Canis lupus familiaris: one gene and its partners. The protein of the gene in region 4 interacts with the protein of the main gene of each other region in a pairwise test. Links are inferred from orthologs where the notes say so. Each region holds a gene or a part of one and is shown on either strand. Other genes may lie near its edges. The genes, in order: LONRF1, PPP1CA, NXT1 and STAU1.

Region 1 (4,676 bases), on a different chromosome or scaffold from region 4:
TTAAGTGTGATATAAAGGAAAACACATAAAATCCTTTAAAAACTGTTATATATGTGTCTGACATAACCTTAATGATAAAAGAGACACAGTTGGGGGATGTGTTCAAAATCCAGGGCATCACAGAGAAAATACCATCACCATACTTGTTGGTGACCGCTTACCTAGGGAGGCTTATTGTGATAATCTTCGTGGACAGGGTTATGTGGCCTTTTTGATGTTTCCAGTATCTAATCACCATCTGTGATTAGTTTGAGTACCAGAAAAAGGATTTGTGATGCTATCAATATCAAATTAAAGGCAGTTTCCTTTGGAAGGGCATTATAAAACCATTGATCTTATGCTTTTGCTGTTCACTGACTTATTTGGGCCTTTCCTTTTATTTGCTTACTGAATATTGGCATTAGGCATTTCTGTAAACATTAGCTCATTGAATTTTCAAAACTCAGCAGATGAGGGAAGGTAAAAAAACAAAAAAGTGTTAATTTGCCTAAGATCCTTTAGGTAGAGTAATGAAAATGACTTAAAGCTAGCTCTCTGGCTCCCAAGTGCTGTGCTTTATCATTATGCCATAATTGCCTCTCTGGTAAACTCGATTAGTCTGATATTGCCTATCCTATTATTAAGATGCCATGGGGACACTTTTCTTTGTGCAATGGGCCAAACAGATTGTGTGAGTTTAAATTTTGATATGATACTGTCTGTGCCTCAGGCATGCTTGGTTAATAGAATCATTTGCTAAAGGCAATATTCTTCGTAAAAGTAATGCCTCATTTTAGCTTTTTGTAAGCTTACATCTTCACATTTGGATTTGATGACAAAATCCCTTGAGTGTATGGCCAGTCATATGATTAAATGTAAATATGGGACAACAGAATAGCATATTGAAAGCATTATAGATTTGATGTTTAGAAACAGTTGTCTTTGTAATCTTAGGAATGTCTAATAATTTTTCCTGGTCTTAATGCCTCATCTATATAATGATGTCTCTTCTGGAAGAGCCTCTCAAATTTGTTTCTTATAGCAAAATCTTTTCTTTTTTTCCTTAGTGTAGTAATTCTATTTTCTGTGATTTCTAATGAAGATTTAAAGTTCGGCTTGCTTTTTAGCCAGCTCCTTTTTCCATCTCAGGCACTTATCATTTTTGTCATTCCTTGTTTTCTAGAGCTCGTGGTTTGTTTCCTTGAATTTTGTAAGGGTGCAAAGTAGCAGTTTTCTTTTTTAATAGTTTTAACAAGTCACAAGTTTATTTCTAGCTTATATCAAGACCAATGTGTGGTAGCAGGGGACTGAATCTTGTGTAGTCATTCCAAAAGCAGAATTCTTCAACTGTATGGCTTCTCTCTACCTTTTTATTAACATAATTTACCAGTTTAATCATTTTTAAGTCTACAGTTCAGAGGCATTAAGTACATTCACATTATGCAAAAAGCAAGTGCTTTTTAGTTTTTTCATTTCAAATCTTTCAAAAATAAAATGTTTTCAGAGTTCCTTTGTTGTTTTTTATGGTGAGTCATTCTTGAAGTATGAAAGGCTGAGTCAGGGCTGGTATTTGTTCAGATGAGTTAATGTATGTGAAATAGAGCACTCCCTGGCACGTAGCAAGTGGTATAGAAGTGTGTGCTAAAGAAATCAATGTAAGATGGATGTGTTAATGCTCCCATTTTCTCTCCTGTGCTCTGTGAAGCTACTCCTTTTGGATCTTAGACTGTAAGACTGATGCATTCAATTTTGTGTTTGCAGTTTAGTGATCCAGTAGTCTGAGGGATTCAGGAAGTAGCCACAGCCTTGGCCTTAACAGCAAGCAGTTCATCGTGGCATAATTTATTCTCTATCTTTTGATATACTGGCTTTAGTTTCTTGTTGTTTTGACCCGGTTCCTTGCTAAAAGGTGTAATTATGCTTATTCTCCATCCTGTTAATGCTTTCTGCCATGTTATCTCTGCGTTAAACTTCCCCCGTTTTCCCTTTTATTGTAGCAGCTATATTCTTTTTTGTTCACTGTTTTCAAAAGCCATTAATCCATAAAGACAAAAAGGAATTCCAAATTCATGTAGACCTTTACCCAAGAATTCACTCTCAGTGGTACTGCTCTCAGTTGGGGGCTGGTGGTAGGGTTCTGCAGTATTACATTGCTCCACCGCCAAGGTGGGGTGCTCAGCTGATGTTTCAGTCTGGCCATTGGCACTGTGTGAGGCAGAAGTACATAATATGTATTGCATAATACTCTGATCCAGCAATGAAATAGGTATTGCCTATTTTAAAATTATTTTTTCATTTCTATAAGGCTAGTGGTAATGGGTAGGAAGACTAGATAGACACAAGTCTTACTGACTATTGTACCTTCTAGGTTGAGAATGAAGAAGAGATCAAGAATCTCAGACAGCTTCATGATTTGGTATACTCACAAGCCTGCAGCTGGTTTCAGAATTTAAGAGACAGATTTCGAAGCCAAATTCTTCAACACTTTGGCTCAATGCCTGGGAGGGAGGAAAACCTTCAGGTATGATGGCTTTGATATTGTTTCCAAAAGTCTCACTTTTTTTTAAATAAACTCAAATTAGTGGATTTTTAAGTTTTTTTCCCCCTTTGGCACAGCATTCCCTTTGTCCCTGCTGTCTTTAAAATCATGACCGTAGTCTCCAGATCAGTGGTACCCACTACAGTTTGTCTAGGAAGGGGATGGACAGAGTTATCAGCTGAGGTAGCTGTAGCCGTCATTGCATAGAAGGAAGAAGCCCTTACCCGAGGATTTGCTCGAAGGAGAGATAAGGAATTAATAGTGGAACATTCTGGTAAAATAATACTACCTAGTAAATCGTGATTAAGAGACCTAGTTGGCCTGGGAGCAGTCAGCTTCTTTGACAGTTGGGAGATGCATCATTTTATATACTTTCTAGAAGTCTTCTTTCATCTCCAACTTTTTTCCTTCTTCAATTCAATTCCTTTTTTCCTACTTCAATTCATTTTCACATTTCATACTTCACTCCTCATGAAACCATTGTTCTGATGGTCTTGCTCAAGTACTGAGGCACTTTCTGTGCAAGCAAACATGTGCAGTAGGGTACCATAAGATGCACAAGAAGAAGTATCCCCATTCTGAAAAGTCTGATGATAGACCTATCCAAACACCAACTTTTAGGCCTAAGCATTTTGAATTGAATAACATGGTTATGTTAGCAGATTTCATAATGTATTGGCTATAAATAAATATATGAAGAGGGAGAGAGAATAGATCCCACTGTGATGGACACTGCTTCTCATCCTAGTTTTCAAAGGATGGTCCAAGTCTGTCTGATTCCCAGTTGAATCCTTCACCTGGACCTGAACTAACATCAGACCATCTCCAAATGGGTACTCATTGTGTGTCTTACAGACTAGTTGCCACACATTTGTTTTATCCAGGCTACCAGAATCTGAGTAAACTTGATAGAGATAGCCTTTGATCATAAAATTGAGCAAGTAAATTTTAAATGTAAAAACTCAACATTCCTTTCACCACCTTCCCCTTTTATTATTCAGTCCTCTGCCCTTGCTTTCTAGTATTATTATTGTAGATCAGTATTTGGTCATGAAAGCAAAAGCAGCCACTCTGTATAATCCAGGCTGAAAAGTTTATTGTAGGATGTAGAGTTGACACAGCTGTTGGCAGAGCTGCAAGAGTGAAGATCAGGGACATCACTGATGGGAGACAGGGAGCTGCCACCATAGATCTCTCAGCCTGACACCAGTAAAGCACCATCTCCTCCAGAACATGCAGGGAAGTTTCTGTAATTCTTAGGAATCCCAGGGAGGCACCTATTAGCAGCAGTCTGTAACACTGTAGCAGGTGGTTCTTAAGTATTCTCAGGAAGGCTCTGCGGATCTGCCAACACTTTACAACAGTCTCTGGAGAACAATGGTTTCTTCTCTTCCAACTTCCACATCTCACAGAAGTATGCCTCTCCTTTGCCAAGTCTAACCAAGAACTGTCTGAGAGAGGGGATTCTGGGAAATGTTTCTGACCTCTCTGAAATGCAAGAAGGAGGTGGTAGTGATACTGACCTGAAAACATAGTCCAAAAATACAGCAACTCTGGTTTGACTCTCGAAGAATCTGGAGGGATACAACATTGATCTCAGGAGCGGTTTTTGTCATTTTGAACCAGGTTTCAGGTTCAATAAGAAGCAATCCAGTGTGCAGTAGAAGTGACTTAAAAATTCTTCTGTATAAATTCCAAGTTCTTTCGTTAGCCATCAGATATAGCCCTTATAACATCAGAAGGACTTCTTTGCTGGCAATGTTTATTTTTTCAAGCAAAACTGGAGGCTGAGACCTTTTATATGTTGCCTAGAATTTCATAGTTCTTTGAAGACATTTTTAACTTAATTGATATTTAATTAGGATGGTTTTGCCTCCGTAGCACATTTGGCAGTGACAGCTCACCAACTTTTTCTCTTGCTACTTCAATTCATGTTTGTCTCTTCACATTTAATACTTCACTCATGAAACTGGAGATATTTTTCACTGTCACAGTTGAGGTGCTGCTACTGGCATCTTATTGGATAGAGGCTAGAGATAATGCTGAACATGCTAGAAGGCACAGGCCTGAAGTTGAGAGACCCTGCTCTAAGGCGGTGCGGTGCAGAGGGAAGCGTCCTGGCCATAGAGTCAGGACTGGTTTCAGTCTTAGGCAATTT
Region 2 (5,526 bases), on a different chromosome or scaffold from region 4:
AATTGTTTTCCTGTCTGTATATCTGGAAAGGAAGATGGTAGGGATAGAGGTGTGGGTTCTTTGGTTTGGTTCTGGGATTATCATGGCAGGGATTAAAAGCAGAAGGATATCTGGCCCCAAGGATAGGTGCAAAGGCTGGGAGATTGGGAGTCAAAGAGACACATGAGGGACACTCTTGCCGCAGCCCTACCAGCTTTAGGATTCCTCCTGGAACATGAGGAGTAGGGACACTGGCTGAGTCCCCAGGCCCTCTAGGACCCTAGGAGTTGAGCCTGTCTCTAGAATTCAGCCCTCAACCCCCATCCTCACTCCCAGCACCCCACTGCCCCTCATCCCTTCCCCACTTACCCTGGCTCTGCTGAGCTGCCCCCAATGAAGCCATAGCGATCAGCCTGGCGATATGGGCCAGGCCCACTCAGCTCTGAGTCGGACCCCAAAGAGCTTGAGTCATCCTGCAGCTCGAAAGGTTGTACCAGGTCCTCCCCCAGGGCCTGGGCCATGGTGCCCCAGACCCAAGCTACCACAGGCTGCAAGATGTGGGGAAAGCCAGTGTGAGAGGCAGCTTCTGACCAGCCTGGGGCCTGAGCTCCCATCCAGCCGGTCCCCAGCCCGGGGACCTGGCTGCAGGGTTCAGAGGGCACAGACTTCAGGGCATCTCACCAAGCCCCCTCTGTCCCCTCTTTTATCGGGGTGGGAGGGTGAGGGTGAGAGTGAGCCTTGAAATGGCAGAAAAGCCAGACCTCTGTGTAGAGGCTGGTCCCCAGGCCCAGCCCCTGCCCCCCCAGGCCAGCTTACCTCCCTGCTGCACCTCACCTCCTCCTCTCACTTCCTCCTTCTCAGCAGCTTCAGCCACCGGCTGGGGGGCCCCTCCCACACTCCCCTCCCAAGTGTGTGGGGGGGTCACCTCTTCCTCTCTGAGGCTCTTCCGGCCTGCCCCAGTGCCCCCAGGACCGTGGGCTCCTCCCACCCTCCCCATGGGCTGGGTGGCTGCAGGCTTGGGCTCCAGAGCAGGGTGTGACCAGTCCAGGACCCACCCGAGTTACAGAGGCCAGGCCCCTCCAGTTTTGAGGTTAAAACAATTCAAGATTCCAGTGAGAATTCTCGTTTATTTAATATTTGCTCTTTACAAGTAATGCTTTGAATATATACCTAACGCAGCGTTATTATGCACTCAGCAGGCAATAACGGAACTTACAAAAATTAGTTCAGCGTGCAGCACAGCGTGGACCAAGATGGGTTCAGAGCGCCGCGGCAGGTGCCTGGGTCTGGCCAGCTGCCTTGAGGGCCGCAGAGACTCAGGAGGTGGAGGCCCCCCGTGAATGTGAGGCCAGGGTTTTGGACCAACCCACCCCCCTGCTATCTCTTGAGTCTCCGTTTCCTTTTCTGCACTTCGAGGACTTGATCCGCAGTGTCTGGAGCATCGGTTATTAATGTGCTCATACCACGCTCCCGCCCAGGGGGTGGGTTAGCGTCTGACAGAGACAAACAACTCCCACAGCACTTCCGGCCCCATATTCTCGGAACTGGACTCGGGTAACTCCTCGGGGGCGGGACCAGACTCGACCCCGCCCTCCGAGCTCCACCCACCGGCCGGGCTCCGTCCCGACGGCCGAGCTCAGCCCGAGCCCCGCCCCGTCCCCTATGCCCCGCCCCCCGGGCCGCCGCGGCCGCTGCGCGCGGTGTCCGGCGGGAGCGCTAGAGCGCGGGGGCAGCGCGCAGGGCGGGGCGGCGGGCCGGGGAGGCGGGGCGGCAGGCCGGGGCGGGCCGGGGCGGGCGGAAGGAGCGCCAGGCCGGAAGGAGGCAGCGGGCGGGAGGGAGGGCGGCAGGAGCGGGCCCGGAGCTGCTGGGGCGGAGCGGCGGCGCCGCCATGTCCGACAGTGAGAAGCTCAACCTGGACTCCATCATCGGGCGCCTGCTGGAAGGTTGGCCGGGGCCGGGGAGGTCGGTGCCCGCCGCGCCCTGGCCCGGAAGTGGTGCGCGGGCGGGCCTGCCCCTCCCCGGGCCAGCTTAGACTGGGCGGGGACGGGCCGCAAGGTCCCGTGGCCACAGCCGCCCCCCGAGTCGCGGCGCGCCGGGGGAGGGGGGTTCCGGGGACGCTCTGGCACGGGGAGCAGCCCCCCTCCTGGGCGGGGGGCGCACGGGTTGGCCTGCGCTATTGGGAGTGAGGGAGAAACCTAAGAAGCCTAGCTCCACCCCTCCCAGGGGTCCTGCGCTATGGGTGGGGTGTTGGGTGGCAGGCCCCCGCGCACAGCACACCCCCTCGAGGGGGTCCCATCCTGGGAGGCCAGAGGCGGAGGTCCTGGGAGGCTCACCAGCAACAGCTGCCCCTAGGCAGGGAGGGGCCTAGGAGGCCCAGGCGCCCTCAGATGTGCCCATAGGGCCACTTGTGTCGCCCACCTTCCTCCTGCCTGAGGGACCAGAGTCTTGACACCCCATTCCTCCCACAGTGCAGGGCTCGCGGCCTGGAAAGAATGTACAGCTAACAGAGAACGAGATCCGTGGTCTGTGCCTCAAATCACGGGAGATTTTCCTGAGCCAGCCCATTCTTTTGGAGCTGGAGGCACCCCTCAAGATCTGCGGTGAGTCTGCTGCCCAGATCCCTTTGGCTTTCTGAAAGTGGAATCCCCACTTCACCCCGCCCAGTCCTTGCATTGCTGCTCCCTGGAGCCCGAACTTGGCCCTGGGTTCAAGTGTAGCCCCTGCACCTAGCGCTGAACCGGTTCCCTGGGTTACAGGTGACATCCATGGCCAGTACTACGACCTTCTGCGGCTCTTCGAGTATGGTGGCTTCCCTCCAGAGAGCAACTACCTCTTCCTGGGGGACTACGTGGACCGGGGCAAGCAGTCTTTGGAAACCATCTGCTTGCTGCTGGCCTATAAGATCAAGTACCCCGAAAACTTCTTCCTGCTCCGTGGGAACCATGAGTGTGCTAGCATCAACCGCATCTATGGCTTCTACGATGAGTGTGAGTAGCCCAAGTCCTTAAGTGACTTCCCTTTTCGGGGAGACCCTCACATAGGCCTGGCAGTAGGGGAATTGGTGTCTGACCACTACCCACAGACCGCGAGCTCTGCGAAGGGTGCACACCAGTTGGTGCCTCTCTGCCTGCCCTCCTGCCGTGGGGCCGGCACGCAGGAGGGGTCTGGGGAGTGACTGCTGAGGACTGCCCATGTTCTAATGCAGGGCCCTGCCTCATGACACTCCCCTCCAGGACATCCATTAGGCACTTGGGATGCCTATTTGGACTGGATCCTACCAACCAGAAGCTGAGATAAACCAGGCCTAGTCTTGGCCTGGCCCTGCTCACTGGGTGCGGGTGGGTTGTTTCGGATTGGAACTCAGGTTCCTCTGGACCTAGCTGCTTTAGAATTCCTGGAAGGCTGGTAGGCAGCGGAGTCGGGGGAGGGGGGATTCTCTTCTTGTCTGCCATTCTCTTCTCCCAGCTGTGTCTGGAGGGCCTCAAGACCCAGGCTGGCTGTGGGGCAGATAGGCCTCATGAGGCATCTCCTTCCTCCCAGCAGGCAAGAGACGCTACAATATTAAACTGTGGAAGACCTTTACTGACTGCTTCAACTGCCTGCCCATTGCTGCCATCGTGGATGAGAAGATCTTCTGCTGCCATGGAGGTGAGAGTGGCTCTAGGGTACATGTTGAAGGGTTCTTTGGGAAGGAAGAGCCCTGGGCCACATCCCGGGGAGCCCTGGGATGAGGCTGTTAGCTGGAGGATGTCTTCCCCGTCACCTGGAAGACCTCTCCCAGTGGTCTTGGTTTGCATGTCACTCTTTGTTTTGAGGCTTAAGCAAGTAACCTGCCCTCCCCCAGGCCTGTCCCCAGACCTGCAGTCCATGGAGCAGATTCGGCGTATCATGCGGCCTACAGACGTGCCGGACCAGGGCCTGCTGTGCGACCTGCTGTGGTCTGACCCTGACAAGGACGTGCAGGGCTGGGGCGAGAATGACCGTGGTGTCTCCTTTACCTTTGGGGCTGAGGTAGTGGCCAAATTCCTGCACAAGCACGACTTGGACCTCATCTGCCGGGCACACCAGGTGGGCTGGCAGCTCTGGGGCGGGTGGGAGTGGGGCCTGGGTAGCCAGCACCTGCTGAACAAACTGCCCCCATCCTCATCCAGGTGGTAGAAGATGGCTATGAATTCTTTGCCAAGCGGCAGCTGGTGACTCTCTTCTCGGCTCCCAACTACTGTGGCGAGTTTGACAATGCAGGCGCCATGATGAGTGTGGATGAGACACTCATGTGCTCCTTCCAGGTTGGGATGGGGGAAGGAGGGGGGCTGGTGACCCTGTGGCTTAGCCCATGAGTTTGACCAGCTCTTGTCTTTTTTAGATACTCAAGCCCGCTGACAAGAACAAGGGGAAATACGGGCAATTCAGTGGCTTGAACCCTGGAGGCCGGCCCATCACCCCACCCCGCAACTCCGCCAAAGCCAAGAAATAGCCTCCGCGTGCCCGCACTCTGCCCCAGATGGTGGATTTGTACAGAAATTACGTGGCCATAGGGGGTTCACGCTGGCCCCCCAGGCCCACCTGTCACGGGGAACACGGAGCCTTGGTGTATTTTTTTTTTTTTTTAATGAATCAATAGCAGCGTCCAATCCCCCAGGGCCCCTTCCGCCTGCTATAGTGGTGGCAAGCAGGATCCTGGGGCTGAGGCTGCAGCTCAGGGCAAAGCAGGGCCAGATGTGGGTTTCCAGCCTTGCTTGGCCTCAGGGCTGGCCGACAGATCCTGGGGCAACCCATCTGGTCTCTTGAATAAAGGTCAAAGCTGGATTCTCGCCATGGCCTCTGTCTCCCTTGTCCCAAATACTGGGCCTGGCAGCCCTTCTGTCCAGGGCTGCTTGGGAGGATAGGCATGCTGGGCATGGGGCCCCAGCTAGGGCAATCCCAGCCATAGGCTCAGGTCCATGGGGGCTTAGAATTCCAAGCTGGGGCCAGAGAGTATAGAGAAAACAGTTTGGTGACCACAAAGGATTCCAGAGGTGTGTTTAGGATTTAAGGGACAGACAAGTCATGATTGGCAAAGAAGGTAAATCAGCAGGGGCTCATAGCCCCTCTGTGATTTCTGTCCTGGGGAGGTAGGCTTAGGGAAGGCAGGTGTCCAGCCCTAGCCACATAGTTGGGAGTCTGGCCTAAAGGCCTATGGGAGGGGAATAACAGGGGGCCTCCCATCAGGTGGCAGCTCGGTGCAAAGCCTGGGAACAGACATGATTGGTTGGGAGTTAGAGAAGACAGGACCCAGGCTAGTCAGAGCCAGGAAGGACCTGGGGTGGCATCAAGACCAGTGCTCTACTCCAACACAGCCCACCTTTACCAACCACCAGGGTGATTAGCCCCATCCCTGGGCTGCTGCTGGGGGAAGGAGGAGGCTGTGGTTTCATCTAATCAGAGCCTCTGGACACAGGCTTGTTCTCAGTTCAGCCTTCACCCTCACTATCTTCAGCCAGCACAGGGCTGGGGCCCGGAGGAGAGTGTACAGGGGCGAGGATGGAGCCAAAGAACAGCGAGCGGAAC
Region 3 (5,390 bases), about 36 Mb from region 4:
AGGCCTGGGCAGTCAGGATGAAGTTTTGGTTAAAGTCCCGTTGTTTGTTGCCTTCAAACTTTACTGTTCCACAGATCACAACAAGGACTGTGGTCTGGCTTGGGGTGGCTTCATCATGGACAGGTTGGCAGTCTACCACGTTGATCTGGAACTCACTGGAAGGCAGCATTTCAAAAAACTCACTCAAGGACTCTTGTCCTGAAACAGCGTTTCCATTCCACACAAGGGTGGCCGTGCCCATGTACAGGCGGGACAGCAGGCGCCGCCGCTTATCCATGGTAGTGTAGTACACGTTCACAAACTCCTCAGCAGCTCTGCAGGCCTGATCCACGTAGGTCTTGAAGTCCACTGACGCCATCTCCAGCCCTGCCAAAGGAGGCCCAGGTGTGCCTGTGCCTGAGGGAGCCGGGGCTGTGGAGCAGGAAGGTTGAAGAGAACCCCGTGAATGTCCAAGTTCGTTCTGCCCTGACAATGGAATAATTATTTTCTCCCAGTGGCAAAACAATTACAGACTGTAGAGAGATGACTCTAGGCTCAAATTTTGCGACACCTCATCTTACAATGCCTCGGTTTGCTCATTTAAAAATGGAAATAGCACCACTTGTGACATAGTTGTAATGTGAGAATTAAACAAGACAGTGCTTAGTTAAAAAGCCTGTTATCTACATATTCAAAAAATGTTAGCTATTACTAGGAATTTTAAAAATCTCATTTTATAAAAGATAGTACATTTGCCTATGTATGGTCACTTTTTCCTGGAAGCGTGGACCAGGTGTGACTGCCCCTAGAAAAGTGGAGAAACAATGGATCCTGGATAAAGATAGTGGACCACATGGGATCCCTGGGTGGTGCGGCGGTTTAGCGCCTGCCTTTGGCCCAGGGCACGATCCTGGAGACCGGGATCGAGTCCCACGTTGGGCTCCCGGTGCATGGAGCCTGCTTCTCCCTCTGCCTGTGTCTCTGCCTCTCTCTCTCTCTGTGTGACTATCATAAATTAAAAAAAAAAAAAAAAAAAAAAAAAAAAGATAGTGGACCACAATGAAGGGAGCAGTGGCCCAATAAACACCAGTCAGAAGGCATATGCTTGTCAGCTGCTGACAGTCTAAGATGAAAGCCTATCATGAGCTCACCCAACAGATAGTGGGAGAGCAAAGAGAAGGCAGGTTTTCTAAGATAAGAGAACAAATGTCACTAGCATGGTACCAAAATAGTGGTCAAGATCCTCATGACACGGCTAACCTTCAGCTACTGGGAATGAGAAGGGAGGGCACCTAGCTTCCATGAGCACAAATACCTACAAGGCAAGTTCTGTGAGCCAAAATGGAAAGACAAGTTAAAAATGGAAAGGCAAGTTCTGGGACACCTGGGTGGCTCTGTTTGTTACGTGTCCAACTCTTAATTTCAGCACAGGTCATGATCTCAGGGTCATGGGATCCAGCCTTGCATCCAGCTCTGAGCTTGCAGCAGAATTGGTTTGTTACTCTCCTTCTGCTTCTCTCCCCCACCGTCTCAAATAAATAAAAATCTCAAAAATAAATAAATACAAGAATCACGTAAGTTGTATGGATTGAGGATGGAGGTGGTGGCAACAAAAAAAAGAAACTCAACTGTGGCTGAAATGTCACATTTCCTTAAAAAAAAAAAAAAAAAAGCCCCAAAGCATAAAGAAATATTATTATTTGATAGTCTCAAAGTATGGTACAACTGTTACAGTTCCCTGCTCTTCTTTGCATCATTAAAATATTTCACTAGAAGTGGGGTACCTGGGTGGCTCAGCTGGTTAAGCATCTGCCTTCAGGGCTGGTTGTGATCCCAAGGTGCTGGGGTCAGGCCCCATCCCAGCCCCAGCCTGCTCCCTGCTCAGATGGCAGCCTGCTTCTTCCTCTGCCCCTCCTCCTACTTGTGCAGGTGCACGTGCCTGTGCTCTTCCTCAAATAAATAAATCTTTAATAAAATTTTTAAAAATGAAATATTTAAATAAAAGAAAAAATTCACGGGACTATTACTAAGATAATGGATACGTTTAGATATACACTTAATGAATGTTTGTTTCAAAGACCTTAACTTCTTTTTTTAAATATCAGCTCATGAAATAGAGAAAAGATTTCAAAGAGTTGGGAAAGAGGAGGGTGCACAAGGAGGAGGCCTCTGCCCTGGAGTAAAGAACTGTAAAGAGCAGGCAAGGAGCTCAGTCCTAGAAATGAGGAGAGAGAGGAGCAGACACAGCCCGAGGTCTCTGCACTCCCCCTTTGGACCCAGAGTCAAGCCTCAGCGGACAGGTTGCGAGCTGGGTATCTGCCGCCTACTTTGAATACATCACCTCCTTCGACGGTCACCACAAAAGGACACACAATCTTAAAAATGAGAAGGGAGACAGGGGTTGGATCACGGTCTGACGGCAAGCACGCGCCTGATTTACCTTCCTAAGAATGCTGGTGGCCTCTGAAAACGTCAGGCCTCCGCTGTCCTTCCCTTGTCACCCTGCGCGTCCCTGCAGGTAGGAAGTCGAGTCTCTGAGAGCACCGCTCGGGGCCTGCCGCTGGCTTGAAGCTCCCCTCCAGGGCCCGGCCCCTGACCCCACGGGGCTCCCCGGCGCGCCGGGCCCTCCGCAGCCTCGAGTCGTTCCGCGGGCGCCCTGCCCACCCCTGCTCTACCGGCCGGGGCGACTCCCAAGCCCAGCCCAGCACCGGTCCCGGCGCGGAGGGGAGGCACCGGCTCCTCCCCCGCGCTGCTGCTGCCCACAGCGCCGACGGCTCCCCTCCTCCATCCAATCCGGGATAAGAAACGTCGGAAGTGAGCTAAGAACGAGGCCGCGAGGCCGCCGCCTTCCCTCGAGGCCTCCGTCGGCAGGTCCTAGGCGCTGGACCAGAGACCACGCCACAGGCCTCATCCCGGCGCCAGGCGCTTCGCACCCGCCCGCCCGCCCGCCCGCCCGCCGGGTCCTCGGCCCGGACCTGCCGCACTGCCCCGGCTTCCCCCGCGACGGAGCCCGCCGCCAAGCGCCGGGCACGGCGTACTGACCTGGGGCGGCGCCGCCAGCACAGCACAGGGACGCGGCGGGGCCCGGCCGAGCGCCGACGACGCGGACGGGCGGGGATGCACGCGGGAGGCGTCTCCGGAGCCCCCGGGCCGGGCCTGCGGTCGTCGGCCTGCGGGCCGCGGGGGACGCTGGGGGCCTCTGGGGGCCTCCCTGCGCGGCGGGGGCCGGGGTCGGCGCCGGGGTCGGCGTCTCCCGGCCCGCGTGGGCGGCGGCTCGCCCCGCACGGCCCCCGGCTCCACGGAGGTCGCAGGGCGGGCCTGCCCAGGCTGGAGGTCCTCCGCCGCTCGCTTCAGGGAGGGCCGGGAGCGCCGCCCTCTGCCACCCTTCTTCCCGGACCCACCAGGGTCGTCGAGACCCCTGAGCCCGGCCGGGGACCCGCAGCCGCCTCCGCAGCCGCCCTCCGCAGCCTCCCGCGCGCGGCCCGCCCCGCGCTGCGCAGACGCCGGTGCCCGCGGCTCCGCCCCCTCCCGCCTCCGCTTGACAGGCAGCTGTGTCAGCCAACCGGACGGAGGACCTGGAGGCTGGCCCCGCCCAGGTGTGGCGCAAAGGACACGGTGGCTTCCGGGAGAGGCGCTTTCCCAGAAGGCCACAGAAAATCAGCGGTCGGGTTTTCATTGGCTTAACTAGGCATAGGACCCGGTCCGATTGGTCACGTGGGTTTCTTGATTGGATGAAATATCCCAGGTCCCGCCCCCGGAGCAAGAACCGGGAGAGGTGTGTCCCGCGCAGTGGAGGCCGCCGGACTGGAGAGGATGGGGAGGAGTCTGTGCGGCGACCTCAGGTTCTTGCCCTATGACCTCCATTCACCTGCAGTCGGGGAAATTCTATTAATAGACGACTTGATGCTATCTCGGAAAGCCAGCACTAGAAGCAGGCAGTGACCCACGGAGGCTTTCACACAGGCACGGCAGGTGGGGCGCCGGGAACACGGACTCCGCCGAGCCCCTGGGGAGCTCTGCCTGAGGAGGGCTCTCGGCTGGGTGCTCCCCCCACCACGTGGAGCTCGCCCGAGGAGGGGTCTCGGCTGGGTGCTCCTCCCCACCACGTGGAGCTCTGCCCGAGGAGGGGTCTCGGCTGGGTGCTCCTCCCCACCACGTGGAGCTCGCCCGAGGAGGGGTCTCGGCTGGGTGCTCCCCCCCACCACGTGGAGCTCTGCCCGAGGAGGGGTCTCGGCTGGGTGCTCCCCCCCACCACGTGGAGCTCTGCCCGAGGAGGGGTCTCGGCTGGGTGCTCCTCCTCACCACGTGGAGCTCTGCCCGAGGAGGTGTCTCGGCTGGGTGCTCCCCCCACCACCACGTGCAGCTCTGCCGGAGGAGGGGTCTCGGCTGGGTGCTCCCCCCCCCACCACGTGCAGCTCTGCCCGAGGAGGGCTCTCGGCTGGGTGCTCCCCCCACCACGTGGAGCTCTGCCCGAGGAGGGGCCTCGGCTGGGTGCTCCTCCTCACCACGTGGAGCTCGCCCGAGGAGGGGTCTCGGCTGGGTGCTCCCCCCCACCACGTGGAGCTCTGCCCGAGGAGGGCTCTCGGCTGGGTGCTCCCCCCACCACGTGGAGCTCGCCCGAGGAGGGGTCTCGTCTGGGTGCTCCCCCCCACCACGTGCAGCTCTGCCCGAGGAGGGGTCTCGGCTGGGTGCTCCCCCCCCCACCACGTGCAGCTCTGCCCGAGGAGGGCTCTCGGCTGGGTGCTCCCCCCACCACGTGCAGCTCTGCCCGAGGAGGGGTCTCGGCTGGGTGCTCCTCCCCACCACGTGGAGCTCGCCCGAGGAGGGCTCTCGGCTGGGTGCTCCCCCCCACCACGTGGAGCTCTGCCCGAGGAGGGGTCTCGGCTGGGTGCTCCCCCCCACCACGTGGAGCTCTGCCCGAGGAGGGGTCTCGGCTGGGTGCTCCTCCCCACCACGTGGAGCTCGCCCGAGGAGGGCTCTCGGCTGGGTGCTCCCCCCACCACGTGGAGCTCTGCCCGAGGAGGGGTCTCGGCTGGGTGCTCCTCCCCACCACGTGCAGCTCTGCCCGAGGAGGGGTCTCGGCTGGGTGCTCCCCCCCACCACGTGGAGCTCTGCCCGAGGAGGGCTCTCGGCTGGGTGCTCCCCCTGCCACGTGGAGCTCTGCCCGAGGAGGGGTCTCGGCTGGGTGCTCCCCCCCACCACGTGGAGCTCTGCCCGAGGAGGGGTCTCGGTTGGGTGCTCCCCCCCACCACGTGGAGCTCTGCCCGAGGAGGGGTCTCGGCTGGGTGCTCCTCCTCACCACGTGCAGCTCTGCCCGAGGAGGTGTCTCGGCTGGGTGCTCCCCCCCACCACGTGGAGCTCTGCCCGAGGAGGGGTCTCGGCTGGGTGCTCCCCCCCCCACCACGTGCAGC
Region 4 (4,926 bases):
GTGGGGAGCCCAATACAGGACTCAATCCCAGGACCCTCGGATCATGACCTAAACCAAAGGCAGACAGACGCTTAACCACTGAGCCACCCACGTGCCCCAAGAGTTGTCTAGTCTTTACTGGATCTCCTCTGTTCCTTTGTTCTGACTCCAAAAAGTAAACAAGGAATAACTGCATTATGGACGATTTTGGTGAATAAGATGATGCTTCTGTCTCTATATCCAAAGTCATGTTTGACCTGAGGTGTTGGGGTTCTTTTTAGTTTTACAGTTCTTTTTGCTCTCATCAAGAGAGAATGTGCCCGAATTCCTCAAGTTACCTAATTGCTCTGATTGTTCATCTCTTTCCAAAGGTCCAGCTTTAATTAAAAATTATTTTGAGACTTTAAAAAAAACTAAAGTAACCATTACTTTGTAATAGAAATTCTGATTTATTTGCTGGTTTCTGTTTTGGTTAGCTTTTCTACTCGTTGTTGTTACTGGTTATTTGGGGGTACTTTTGGCTCGCTTAAATACATTCATCTATTTGAATGGTGTCCATGACTGTAAGCAGAACAGTCCTTACCTTTGACTTATGAAGAAATTTAAATGTATTCAGAAATAATGCCTTTGGAACTTAGAAGGTGAAGTAGACCATTTCCTCTGCTTCCTGGGTTCCACTCCCATCCACACTAGTGAAATTGCTAGTCTGAAATCTGTTCCTCTCTTTTTCATCTTTTCCACCTTTGCTTTTAATCATACAAACATTATAGAATGTTCTTTACTATTCAAATAATTTCTCAGGATCTTGCATGTTGGTGTAGATGCAAGTTTTATTTGGGGTCTGTAACTAATGAGACCATCTCAAACCTCATAGGAAAAAGATCTTTTATTGTCATAAGGAAAAAGAAACAGTAGAAGTAAGAAATTCCTGTCTTTCTTCAGTCAGCTTAAAGGAAAACTGTAAGGGTGCCAGCCTGAGCACGTGGCCCTTCAGTGGAAGCAGTGTGTACATTCACACACTAATGGTCTTAGGAACCAAGTGTGCTTTCACCTTCTGATAATTTTGAGACAAGAAATCTTTACCGTATCCCATATAGTATGGAAAGCCTCTCCGTACCTTTTTTTTTTTTTTTTTTTTTTAGTTTTTTTTTTCCTTTTTTTCCCCCACATTTTTTTAATTAGACATTTTGAATACAGGCTGTAGTTTGTAATTCTTAATTTTCAACAATGAATGTCATTAAACCCTACTGGTGCTCTTTATAAAATAAACATGCAGAGCATATGGGTATTGCAAGTCATTTAAAAGCACTGTCAGAAAGTCACAAGGCCAGGAACTTCACTGTGTACCGAGGGGAACACACTTCTAATACATCAGCATAGCTACAAGCTCAGTGGGACTATTTTCATTCTTGAGTAGGTGACACCAATTTTGACTGAATATTGGCAATTACATATCTCCTCTATAATTTACCTTTTTATTTTCTTTCCCTTACAACTTTTAGGTAGAACTTTAGACTTCATAGCACTGAATTAACCTGCACTGAAAGCTGTTTACCTGCAGTTGTTCACTTTTGTTGAAAGTGACCATGTCTCAAGTTCAAGTGCAAGTTCAGAACCCATCTGCTGCTCTCTCAGGGAGCCAAATACTGAACAAGAACCAGTCTCTCCTCTCACAGCCTTTGATGAGTATTCCTTCTACTACTAGCTCTCTGCCCTCTGAAAATGCAGGTAGACCTATTCAAAACTCTGCTTTACCCTCTGCATCTATTACACCCACCAGTGCAGCTGCAGGTAAGCGTATGAATCCGAGTGTCTTCTTTTTCAAATGTTTTCTTAGCCTGTTTTTTGATCTGATAAGTAGATTGCAGATGTAGGGAGCTCTCACATTACCTTCCAGAAGCAGAAGAAAGTATTAACACCCACACTTCTTTGTTCCAGATGTAAAACACTTGGTTGTATACTGGGTTGACGGAGGCCTGAGTTGACAGACCATTTCAAAGTGTAAGAAAGGGAATTGTAAACTAAACTATAAAACCAAACTTATTAAAAAATGGTGGCCAACAGAAAGGATTGAACAGTAAATACCACTCTGGATATGTTTTGTTGTATGGGAAAATTCTGCTTTTAAAATTATTTCCCAGAACTGACAATCTTTGTATGTGAAAGCCCCTGTTTTAGATGTGTATAAAGATTATATCCCAAGCAAGGGAGCAGCCAGATTCACTGGAAAGCAAGAGAGTGCATTGGCATTTGTTAATTTTTATTTTGAACAAGTAAGTTTGAGATTCCAGACGTAGTTTAGAAGTCACAGTGAGGACCAATTAAAAATTGAACCAAAGAAGCAGAGATTTTTGAAGAGGAAATAAGTTTAGAAGCATTTAAATCTGTTAGGAAAATAAAAATGAACTAAGTGTGCTCATTGATGGAGCACCTGGCCAGCTCAGTCTGAATAACATGTGACCCTTGATATTGGGGTTATAAGTTCAAGGCCCACGTTGGGTTTAGAGATTATGTTTTTAAAAATTTATAAATAAATCTGCTCATTGATGAGAAAAGATTTGAAACACCTGAAAAATAAACAATTCTGAAAACAATATTCTGCTTTCCAACCTTTCCCCAAAGTGGCAAAACCAATTAAATGGGGTGCCAGCATGGGTGTCTCCATAGCAGAGTCACCTTCTAACAAATTCTTTCAACCCCTTGTGCCTGACAGTTTCCCTTGCATTTCCTCCTTCATTTCTCATTTCCTTCACTTTATAAATCTGTCTTAGAGTGTTGGCTCGTCCCTCTCTCAGCTGCACAACATCTGTCACACTACCTCTAGGCTTCCTTGGACTGGCTCACCGGAGAGCAATCTTGACTTGTCATCGTACCCAATAGATTCAGGATTCAGTTTTCCCCAAATTTGCCATTGGAGACCATCTTCAAAGGAAATGTCACAGACTGTTTCAGTCCTCTGGGATTTACTGCTTTTTTCTTCTAATGTGCTCTTACATCCACATCCTACTGACTTGTAAAACTCCCACCTCCAAGGCTGTTTTATTTTACTTGTATAATTCTCAGAAGTAGATAAGATCTGAGGATGGCAGCCTCTGGAGATAAGACTAGGGGTGCCCCTGGAACGAGAAGTTAGCCATGTGGGAAATGACAGTCGTTGTTTGAGAAATGGCATTGGCACGTTGAGTTTTGTGCAATAACCGACAGGGTCCGGCTGACAGCTGTTGTGGTAACCAGTGTGTCTGTGCTCACAAGACCTCTGTGTAATTCCCGTGGTTGGTTATAATAACAGTGCTTCATCTGATTTCAAATCTTGCTTGCTGCCATGGTTTAGTTATTCCCCCTGGCCTCGGTTCTCTCTCTTGGGAAGACACACTTTCCTAGGTTCCCTGGCTTCAGCCGGTTCAGAGAAGACCCCAGCTGTGTCTTCAAGCAGGCGCCACCATGTGGTTTGCAGTTGTGCATCACTGCTGCTCTGAATCCTTAGACCTTCTGCTTTCCCTCTTTTTTCATGTCCCCGGGAGAGCAGCAGTCCTATATACTGCTGGTTGACTTCATTGCTCTTACGTTATTTTTCAGTTCCTTCTAGCATGGCACACCCCAAAGAGAAAACCCCAATGTGTCTTGTGAATGAGTTAGCCCGTTTCAACAAGATTCAGCCTGAGTATAAGCTTTTGCGTGAGCAAGGTCCAGCTCACTGTAAGGTAAATATTGTCCATACTGCTTGTGCATTTATAACCCACCAGGAATGTTTTCTGTCTTTTTATGCTGTTCCAAGTGGTGCTGTGATGCAGAATACATGCTTTCCAGTCACTGAGGCTATCTTCAAGAGATGCAAAAGTAGAGATTTTGGCAATTCGCTTCTCTTCATCCTTGCAGAATGGGTCAAAGAAAAGACATGCTTCTTTTTGGGATATGTGGCTTTTAAAACTCCAGTTAGTGTGTGATTGTCTTTAGGATTCTGAATAGAGACAATTCCCAAGCACCTGTGAATGATTTCCTGTGAGTTTTCCAGGCTCTGGGCCTCCTGGCTACAGCCTGCTCTGGCTCCTTTCCTGCTTCCTTGCATGTGTACCTTAGACTGGGCAGGGAGAGGGGAACAGGAAATCCATTTTGCCACTTGTTAGCAATCCAGGTAAAAGGTTTGAAGATGAGAGGTAGAAATTAGTCTCAAAGTGAGTCCTTTGGATTGTCTCTGATTTCACTTATCCTTGTCTTTCCCCATATCTTAGAGAATGGAAGACTGACTGTAATTTAAATGTTTACTATTTGTTATTCAGGAATTCAGTCTTTGAAGCTTGCTTGATATCTGTACTAATGTAAATCTTGGAACTTAAATGTGTGCATATCTGGCTTTATCTTTGCAGCTGCAGTGTGAGAGAGGGTATGGTATCAGAGAAAAGGAATTGGGCCTCTATTTCCGATCCTAGCTTTGCAGTAAAGAGAATATAATTAAGGATGAGTTATTGGTCTCTTTATGCCTCATTTTTCTTGACATGCAAACCTCAAACCTTGAATGATAACAAGTTTCTTTTCATTTGACTAAAAGTAACATCAGCGGCAATCCTAAATAGGCACCATAGTGTAGTTAGGTGAGTCGCCTTTGGTGTCAGACAGATCTGGGTTTAAATCTCAGTTTCTTCTAGCTATGTGACCTTGGGTAAACTACTACTTTTTTGAACCTTAGTCTCCTCATCTGTAAAATGGGGATAATACCTACCCAAGTAGGTCTACTGTGAGAATTAAACGAGAGACTATGTATTAAAGTGTGGAGCACAATGCCTGGCAGTTAATAAGTCCTTCAGAAATGGTAGCTATTACGCATTTAAGAAACAGAAATTTGAAGAAAAAAAAAAAAGAAACAAATTTGTACTCACATGAAGCGAGTTTTAACATTATTCTAAAGCATGATCATATTTGAAATGTTTCTTTACTTTTGGAAGGCAATTC

The links.
Region 1: the proteins of STAU1 (region 4) and LONRF1 interact in binary tests that used the Homo sapiens proteins (3 or more experiments, as listed by UniProt). The two-hybrid records come from large-scale screens. The link is inferred for Canis lupus familiaris from reciprocal best matches to the Homo sapiens genes STAU1 and LONRF1.
Region 2: the proteins of STAU1 (region 4) and PPP1CA interact in a two-hybrid assay, tested with the Homo sapiens proteins (2 studies listed by BioGRID and IntAct). The link is inferred for Canis lupus familiaris from reciprocal best matches to the Homo sapiens genes STAU1 and PPP1CA.
Region 3: the proteins of STAU1 (region 4) and NXT1 interact in binary tests that used the Homo sapiens proteins (3 or more experiments, as listed by UniProt). The two-hybrid records come from large-scale screens. The link is inferred for Canis lupus familiaris from reciprocal best matches to the Homo sapiens genes STAU1 and NXT1.

The regions. Positions count from the first base shown.
Region 1 is NC_049237.1:37,041,950-37,046,625, reverse strand, and holds part of LONRF1 (LON peptidase N-terminal domain and RING finger protein 1), read left to right. Parts: intron 1-2,347; coding exon 2,348-2,500; intron 2,501-4,041; exon of another isoform or gene 4,042-4,092; intron 4,093-4,676.
Region 2 is NC_049239.1:50,564,834-50,570,359, forward strand, and holds PPP1CA (serine/threonine-protein phosphatase PP1-alpha catalytic subunit), read left to right. Parts: upstream 1-1,771; 5' UTR 1,772-1,867; coding exon 1,868-1,922; intron 1,923-2,447; coding exon 2,448-2,579; intron 2,580-2,735; coding exon 2,736-2,966; intron 2,967-3,522; coding exon 3,523-3,627; intron 3,628-3,823; coding exon 3,824-4,047; intron 4,048-4,130; coding exon 4,131-4,265; intron 4,266-4,342; coding exon 4,343-4,453; 3' UTR 4,454-4,586; downstream 4,587-5,526. Other genes in the region: TBC1D10C (carabin), read right to left, coding at 349-593; cell cycle checkpoint control protein RAD9A, read right to left, coding at 5,430-5,525. UniProt on the Homo sapiens protein: Protein phosphatase that associates with over 200 regulatory proteins to form highly specific holoenzymes which dephosphorylate hundreds of biological targets.
Region 3 is NC_049245.1:673,287-678,676, forward strand, and holds the start of NXT1 (NTF2-related export protein 1), read right to left. Parts: upstream 3,467-5,390; 5' UTR 3,022-3,466; intron 2,621-3,021; exon of another isoform or gene 2,492-2,620; 5' UTR 2,420-2,491; intron 1,784-2,419; exon of another isoform or gene 1,764-1,783; intron 412-1,763; 5' UTR 359-411; coding exon 1-358.
Region 4 is NC_049245.1:36,470,294-36,475,219, reverse strand, and holds part of STAU1 (double-stranded RNA-binding protein Staufen homolog 1), read left to right. Parts: intron 1-1,481; 5' UTR 1,482-1,565; coding exon 1,566-1,770; intron 1,771-3,555; coding exon 3,556-3,680; intron 3,681-4,926. UniProt on the Homo sapiens protein: Binds double-stranded RNA (regardless of the sequence) and tubulin.